2 linked regions of the Rattus norvegicus genome follow. The protein of the gene in region 1 interacts with the protein of each later gene in a biochemical or structural test. Links are inferred from orthologs where the notes say so. Each region holds a gene or a part of one and is shown in the gene's direction. Other genes may lie near its edges.

Region 1 (3,814 bases):
GAACACTGCCCAATACAGCTATGAGGACCTGTGTGAGAAAGAGCTCTCCAGCTCCACATTGAACAGGTGAGGCCGCCGGAGGAGCATGCTTGTTCACACCCACCAGCTTGATAGGAATCAGGAAACTGGCCCCCGTGCTGTCGTGATGGACTTCGGGAGGCAGAGCCCGGGCCATCACCAGGTTTATCCAGTCATTTCCAGAAGATTCATGTGCCTTTTACTTGAGAAACTTACCAACACAAAACTGCCCACACAGATAAATGCCCTTTTATGAAATGCCATAAGTAACAAGGGTCTCCAAAGTGCCTGACCTTTTAAATATGCAAATCTCCTACAATAAAAGTCTAGCATGTTTATTGGTGTTTGCCTCATCCAGGCAAGACTTACAGCAGGCGGCCTAATTTAGGCAGCTGGCTCAGTTACCCTATTTAAACAACAGGCATTATCTGATGGTGCTTGGGCAGGGCAACTAAAATCCCAACTAGGGAGGCCTCCGGGCTCAGATGCCTTCTTGCCAGCCTCCTCCTTGTGCCACCTGACCTCAGGGCTCTTTCATGGTGGTAGCTGGTGAATGATCCAAGAGGAAGAGACAAGAGCCAGGAAAGAAATCAGACCCCCATGACTCAACCCCAGAAGTGAGCTTCGTGCCAGGTCTTCCACCATTTTTGTTCACTGGAATCCAGTCATTAATTCAGAGCACACTCAAGGGAAGGTTACACTGGGAGGCCAGATCACCAAAGACCGCAGGAGAGACAGCCCCTGCCACAGCACAGAATACAGAGCTATGTTTTCTTCAGTTGCAGGTAATCTAATCAGTTCCTGTGGCGCTTGCCAATCAGGAAGCTTGTGAAGTCTATATAGATAAACATATGAGGTGATCTGGCCTACATGTTTGTCTTATGTGTATGTTTAGAGATTTTCCATAATTCTTTCAGTATTCTCAAATGACTTCTCAATACTTCTTGAGATCTTTTTAAAAGTGTGTGTGTGTGTGTGTGTGTGTGTGTGTGTGTGTGTGTAAGACAGCTGGTGGGAGTGAGCTCTTTCCTTCTACCCTGTGTGTCCCAGAGATCAAATTCAAGCTTGAAGCAAGCACCCTTACCCATTGAGCAATCTTACTGGCCCCATTGTTGAGATCCCAAGCCATGTCTTGGAAGTATTTTACAGTAAATTTGATTAGTAAAGGAAATAGTAAAATGCCATTTGGTGCTTTTGTGATTCCTAAATGACCAGATCCTTATAATTCACTTGTGAAAATTCCAAGCTTTATGGAATGCATAAATTGATCTGTCTAATCATGTACTGTTGGGTGCCCCACAGCATTGTTGGGAAGCATAAGGAGCTGGAGGGCATCAGCCAGGCTTCTGCAGAATACCAAGTTCTGCAGATTGTGTCAGCAATGGAGAACTACGGCATAGAGTGGCATGCCGTGAGGGACAGCGAAGGACAGAAACTCCTCATTGGGGTCGGACCTGAAGGCATCTCAATTTGTAAAGAGGACTTTAGCCCTATTAACAGGTAACTCAAGTCTTCAATATACATTCATGAATACTGCATATATGCATACACACATTCATACAATCCCAAGCATGTATGTCTACTCTTTGCTTTTGCTGAAAATAGAAAATGGACAGAAATTCACCGGACAACCTCTATGAATAAAGTGATTCATTTTCTAACTTGTTCAATTAATTGCATTCAAGTCCTAACTAATTATTTCTTAAGTACTCTTAAGTCTGCGCAAGGCCCTGGGTTCGGTCCCCAGCTCCGAAAAAAAGAACCAAAACAAAAGTACTCTTAAGTCCACTAGAGTGCCAGAATGACTATGACTATATTTCAGTAGCTGCTCAGTCCATAAATACCCGTCTGCTTCTGCATACATGCACACATGTATATGCACAGACATACATGCACACATATACATGCACACATGTGTGTATGCACATGCACACGCGCGCACACACACACACACATACACACACACACACACACACACACACACACACACACACACACGGTTACTCCAGCACTTGTTTCCACCCCACAGCTGCTGGTCCTGCTTAGCATAAGTAGTTGGCCTCATGACAGAACTCCCCAGGCTGAGTGTCTGGCTCCCCACCTGGTCATGGGCTACCTAACTAAAGGTGTCAGCACCATGCTGAGCTCTCCCTTCCAAACTTGCTCATTTTTCTCCTCCTGCCTTTCAGGATAGCTTATCCTGTGGTGCAGATGGCCACCCAGTCAGGAAAGAATGTCTACTTGACCGTCACCAAGGAGTCCGGTAACAGCATCGTGCTCCTGTTTAAAATGATCAGCACCCGAGCTGCCAGTGGGCTCTACCGAGCTATCACGGAAACACATGCATTCTACAGGCGCGTACCACCCTGTGTCTCGTTTGGGCGACTGGCAGGGTTCTGTGACTTCTCCTAGCCTTGAGTCCACAAGTCTTGTACAGAATGGGAGAGAATAGCTACTCTGAGTACCTCAATTTGTCGAGCTGGTGGAACCCTTCTCAGCACAGAATGGGCATGCCTGTGCTTCACTTACAGTCTCCTGCCCATCTCTCACTGTATCTCCTTCCAAGCCACCTCCCAGCATGACCCAGTGGTTGGCCCTGTTCTGTTAAGGCTTCATCCTTTCCCAGAACAGTGGCACAGGTCCCTCCCTGCTGAGAACCACCCTGTCCTGAGCTCTTACCCTTCAAACACTCAGGATACTTATTAAGTTAATTTTACTTGGTGTTTTTTGAGACCAAGTCTCACTGTGTGTCCAAAGCTTACCTGAAATTCGCTATACACCTCAGGCTGACTTCAAGCTCAAATGCAATCCTCTAGTCTTGGCTTCCTGACTGCTGGGATTGCCTATGTGGACCACTATACCTGGTCACGGGGAAGATTTTTAAATAACATTGGAGACTCTGGAGGGGACTTTTCAAGCTGAGTTGTGATTAGGCTCAGACTTTGAAAAAATTAAAGCCAAAACTGTAGTCGGTAGGAAACCTTCAAATGTTTTGTGTTAAAATAGACTACAGAGCAGAACAGAAAATGTGTAGACACGCTTAACATGAAAGCCACGACTTCAAAGAACAAATGTCCCTTTGCTTGCACAAGCTGCTGGGTGGCAGCTCACAGCCCTGGGGAGCTGGGATGTCACATCTCCATGTCTACAGCTGCTTCCTTGAAAGTATTTGGAGACCCCTGGGGTAAAGTCGCTGAGCTACTGAGCATATGAAATGGAAAGTTACCCTCAGACATGCACAAAAGAATAGTAACTGGCTCCGTCCATGGAATGCTTGCCTAACGTGCATGAAGCCCACATGAGCTGAGCACAGTACACATACGTGTCTATAATCCCAGCAGCACTAGGGGTTGTAGAACGAGGAGGATCTCGAAGTTCCAAGACATCCTTGGCAGCATAGTTCAAGAACAGCCTGTGTCACGTGAGACCTTATCTCAAGTGGGAAAAAAAAAAAAAAGCTGGGTTTGGCGGCATATGTCTTTAATCACTGCACTCCAGAGACAGAGGCAGGTGGGTCTCTGTGAGTTAAAAGCCATGGTGTTCTTCATGGTGAGTTTCAGGACCTACATAGTGAGATCTTGTCTCAAGAAAAGAGCAGCAGTAATATTGAATGTCTTTTAAGCCAGGCATGGTGGCATAGAACTGTAATCCCGACAAGCAGAAGGACCATAAGTTTCAGGCCAGCCTGGGGTATATTATCTCAAAAAGCAAATGAGTGGGGAGACAGATGGATGGCAGAGGGACAGACAGATGACGGATAGATGGATTATAGCAGATAAGAGGTAGAAGATAGATT
Region 2 (4,572 bases), on another chromosome or scaffold:
AGCCTAAGGGACCCAGGTGCAGTGACTGCCCTTGGTAATAGATCCTGGGTAACTCATCCTCTACACAAGAGCTCTACCCAGACTCTCAGCTCAGCCAGCTAGGGAAATGAAGTCCTGGACAGTCACAGGGTACCGAGATCCAGACAGTTCAAGCATCCAGCTGCTTGACAAACAGTGGCTGGGTGGACCAGCTTGTAGAGTCTCCATGGGCCAATCAAACCAGTGTGGAGGAAGCTGATCTACTGGCTTCATTCCTGATCACATCTGAGAAGTATCTGTCTTCCATACATTCTATCTGGAGTTTCATTTTATTTTTTAAAAAATTTGCTTAAAACAGCATGTTTTATAAAATAAAAAATATTTTTATCTCATTAGAAAACCGCTAGTGTGGGATTCTTTGGCTTCTGTCTTCCTTTCTTTTTTTTTTTTTTTTTTTTTCTTTTTTCTTTTTTTCGGAGCTGGGGACCGAACCCAGGGCCTTGCGCTTGCTAGGCAAGTGCTCTACCACTGAGCTAAATCCCCAACCCCCTGTCTTCCTTTCTTTAAATTCACCAAACAAGGAAAAAATGAACTGTTATATCCAGACTTAGAAATGAAGGTTCTGGGCTGGAGAGATGGCTCAGTGGTTAAGAGCACTGCTCTTCCAGAGGTCCTGAGTTCAATTCCCAGCAACCACATGGTGGCTCACAACCATCTGTAATGGGATCTGATGCCCTCTTCTGGTGTGCCTGAAGACAGTGACAGTGTGCTCACATACATATATAAATAAATCTTAAAAAAAAAAAAAAAGAAAAAAGAAATGAAGGTTCTGCAGTCCCAAGATGAATGGATCCAGGAGGATCCCCTGGACAGTGTTCGGTATTTGCTGTAGTCGCCTAGCACCCTAAATACGTAAAGCGATCACAAATCCTAGTTTATCTTAAGACCTGTGGAGATAGGCATGGTATCAGCCTATTATCCTAACAGCTGAACAGCTGAGAAACACAATTCCCATTCAGCCAGAGGCGGGCATATGAGTTCAAGGAACCCTGGGCTACATAGCAAGACACTGCTTCACTCATGAGAGTACCAGCGCTGTCCTGGGAACCAGAGGGGAACTGCCCTATTCACAGCCTGAGAGCTAATAATACTCAACTCAACATAGCACACACACCCATCCTCAGAGGATAAATTCGAGAAATATCCAAGAACCTGCCTGAAAACGCAGATAATACCAAAAATGATTTTTCCTAATATATACCTAATGCCGATAATTTACTAATTTGGCACAAGAAGGAAGTAACTGGTTTTTTTGTTTGTTTGTGTTTGTTTTTTTAAAGAAAAAGACCTGTAGCTACTGTCAGAGTGTAGCTACTGCAATGCTTCCTGGGAAATGTAGTTTGCTGTGTCACACGAGCTTTGTGCATTGAAAGCTAGTTTTCTCTACAACTACTAATCGCATCTGCTTGCAAGTCCTAGCCTACCTGGACTGATGCAGTATCCCCCATGCATCACTTGAGTTCGATCCTCACAGTAGGCTAAGCTACCTTTGTTCTTTGGGTGGTCACGTGAACCGACTCGCCACGCAAGTCTGGGTCCTCAAGCCTTTCAAGGGGTCCTCGCTGCCTCGGAGGCGCCCCTAAAGCTGCCTGCTCGCGCGAGAGTTTGGAGGGGCTGGCTTAGGGTCATTTTCGTGGAGGCTCGCACGGGACCTTCAGATCTCCGCTTAGGTTCCTGGTTAGGTACGGGGTGCTGGGCCAGGCGGTCACTGGCCACCCTGAACCTGGCGAGCGCCGGAGCGCTCTGGAGAAGCCCGGACAGCCCCGTTCTTTCCAGCCAGCTGCTAGGGTTGGGAGCCAAAGTGAGAGTCCGGCTGCTTTCCAGTGCCTGGGCCACGGCGGCGGCCGTGGGAGCAGAGGTGGGACAGATGCGAGCGTCAGAGGCTGTGGGCGCACTGAGGTTGGGAATGGACCCGAGCAAAGCAATGGCGGAGTCCTTACAAAAGGGTCTGGTCTGTCTGCACGGGAACTACTTACATTCTGGAGATAGGGATTCTGGAACCTTTAGTGCTAGGTCCACATAGGCCCTGGTTATGGAGTGTCTTCGCTGACTGGCTTCGTGGCCTGACTAATGGCTCCTTGCTGGCAGCCCCTTTGTGCCGGTCATCCTCGCGTAATCAATATCCTCCATCTCAAAACTACTGCATAGCTCTGTGAGCCCTCAGTGTCCAGTGCTAATGTATCAACATCCAGGCCTTCACCTGTGGAGGACATAGTTTCTGGAGCTGAATCCCGGTTCTGAGCTCCTATCCCCACATCCCGAACCCTGGTCCCTCGGTGTTTGTAACGTGGTCTTCTCCTGGATAATAGAGTCAATCATACCGAGGCCTTTGAAGGCCTTGGGATGAAGGGTAGTAGCAGTCATGGGGAAAATGAATGGATCGCTCTCCTCACACCTGTGCTTTATTTTCACACAAATCCAGGTGGAGCGACCCTGTCCCGCTAAAGATGAAAGGCTGGGGTTGGCTGGCCCTACTTTTGGGGGTCCTGCTGGGAACTACCTGGGCTCGAAGGAGCCAGGATCTACACTGTGGAGGTAAAAGCACAAATACCAGTGAAGAAGTGGGAGGAAGCCGACCCTTGGGAGTCATTAGATCCAAAGCTTGGAACAAAGATGGATAGAAACCCTTGGGTTGACCCATCCCCTCACGATCCCCACTCCCTATTCTCTTCCTGGCGCCAGCTTGCAGGGCTCTGGTGGATGAATTAGAGTGGGAAATTGCCCGCGTGGACCCCAAGAAGACCATTCAGATGGGATCCTTCCGAATCAATCCAGATGGCAGCCAGTCAGTTGTGGAGGTAACTTACTATCCCTCAAGTAAAGTAGTCCACAAAGTATGAGCTTGGTTTAGATCGGAAGAGGAGGAAGCAGGAAGTCATTCGATCTGTTATGATAATCTCACCCCTCAGAGGCTGAACCAGAAGGGTAGACCATAGAATTTGGTACGGTCTTCAAAAAGGAAAGAAACAGCCAGGTGTGGTAGAGCATATCGTAAATCCCAGCACTAGGGAGGCCGAGGCAGGCCAATCTTGAGTTTGAAGCCAGCTTGGCTTACAGAGAGAGTTCCAAGACAGCCAGGGCTGTTATAGAGAGAAGCCCTATCTGGAAAAACCAACCAACCAACAAACAAAACAAAACAAAACAAAACAAAGGAGCCAGAACATTGTGTATCCGAAGGATTGGGCTCTAAGCCAGTTACAGTATTTGCATGCCTGTAGTCCTAATACTGGGAAACAGAGACAAGATGGTCAGGAGTTCAAGGCCAGCCTGGACTACTTGTTGAGACCCTGCCTCACAATCAACAGAGCAGTTGGGCTCTGCCTGTCTGGAAGAGCCTGGACAGTTATAACCACATACTTCTTGGCCCAAGCCTCAAGTAATTGTTTCTGCTGTAAAAATTAGGCATTGATTAGTCCATTTCCCCCACATCCCCAGTTCACATGACCCTTGTTTCATTCACTATAGCAGTATTGTATATACACATTCATTTAAAAAAGGATAAGAGGGCTGGAGGGACTGCTCTTCCAGAGGTCCTGGAGTTCAATTTCCAGCAACCACATGGTGGCTCACAACCATGTGTAATGGGATCTGATGCTCTCTTCTGGTGTGTCTGAAGACAGCTACAGTGTGCTCATATAAAGTAAATCTTAAAAAAAAAAAAAAAAAAAAAAAAAAAAAAAAAAAAAAAAAAAGCTTAAAAAAAGCAAAAGGTTTTGTCCAGCTGGAAATGTAGCTCAGTTGATAGAGTGCTAGCCTAGCAGGCACAGGACTGTGGCTTTGGTCCTTGGCATCCCATAAATGCAGCATACTAGTGCACACCTGGAATCCCTGCTTGCACAGTCTTCCTTGGCGGGAGAGAGACGGCTCAGTGATTAGGAGCACACGCTGCTCTTCCAGAGGACTTGGTTCAGATTCCAGTACCCATGTAGTGGCTCATAGCTCCTTCTGGGTAATCTAACATTCTCTTGCAGGGTCTATGGCCACCAGGCAAGCAATAAATAAATAATTTTATTAAAAGTCTTTGTATTCAAGAAATTTATATTTGCTAGAAGCATAAATTAAAGCTATACCTAGTAAGTAATATGCAAGGAAATTTATTTTTTTAATGATTTATTTTATTTCATGTACATGAGTACATAGTTGCTGTCTTCAGACACACCAGAGGAGGGCATCATGTCTCATTACAGACGGTTGTGAGCCACCATGTGGTCAGGAGCTTTGGAAGAGCAGTCCGTGCTCTTAACTGCTGAGCCGTCTCTCCAGCCAAGAAAGTTTAATTAATGATTTATTTTACTTTATGTGGATTGGTGTTTTGCTAGAATGCATGTCTTTGTGAGGGTGCCAGATCCCTCTGAACTGGAGTTAAAAACAATGGTGAGCCGCCATGTGTGAACCCTGGAATAGTGGCTAGTGTTCCTAAACACTGAGACATCTCTCCAGTCCCTTCAAGGAAAGGTTCCCATGAAGCTGTTGGTGTGCTACCATTGAAGTCTGTACTGCCTTTTTACATTTTTCTTTGTTTGGTTTTGGTTT

The links.
Region 2: the proteins of Mylip (region 1) and Cnpy2 form a complex in vitro, tested with the Homo sapiens proteins (2 studies listed by BioGRID). The link is inferred for Rattus norvegicus from reciprocal best matches to the Homo sapiens genes MYLIP and CNPY2.

The regions. Positions count from the first base shown.
Region 1 is NC_086035.1:19,497,248-19,501,061, reverse strand, and holds part of Mylip (E3 ubiquitin-protein ligase MYLIP), read left to right. Parts: coding exon 1-66; intron 67-72; exon of another isoform or gene 73-803; intron 804-1,320; coding exon 1,321-1,518; intron 1,519-2,207; coding exon 2,208-2,372; intron 2,373-3,814. UniProt on the Homo sapiens protein: E3 ubiquitin-protein ligase that mediates ubiquitination and subsequent proteasomal degradation of myosin regulatory light chain (MRLC), LDLR, VLDLR and LRP8. Activity depends on E2 enzymes of the UBE2D family.
Region 2 is NC_086025.1:1,331,874-1,336,445, forward strand, and holds the start of Cnpy2 (protein canopy homolog 2 precursor), read left to right. Parts: upstream 1-1,602; 5' UTR 1,603-1,897; intron 1,898-2,461; 5' UTR 2,462-2,486; coding exon 2,487-2,574; intron 2,575-2,721; coding exon 2,722-2,837; intron 2,838-4,572. UniProt on the Homo sapiens protein: Positive regulator of neurite outgrowth by stabilizing myosin regulatory light chain (MRLC). It prevents MIR-mediated MRLC ubiquitination and its subsequent proteasomal degradation.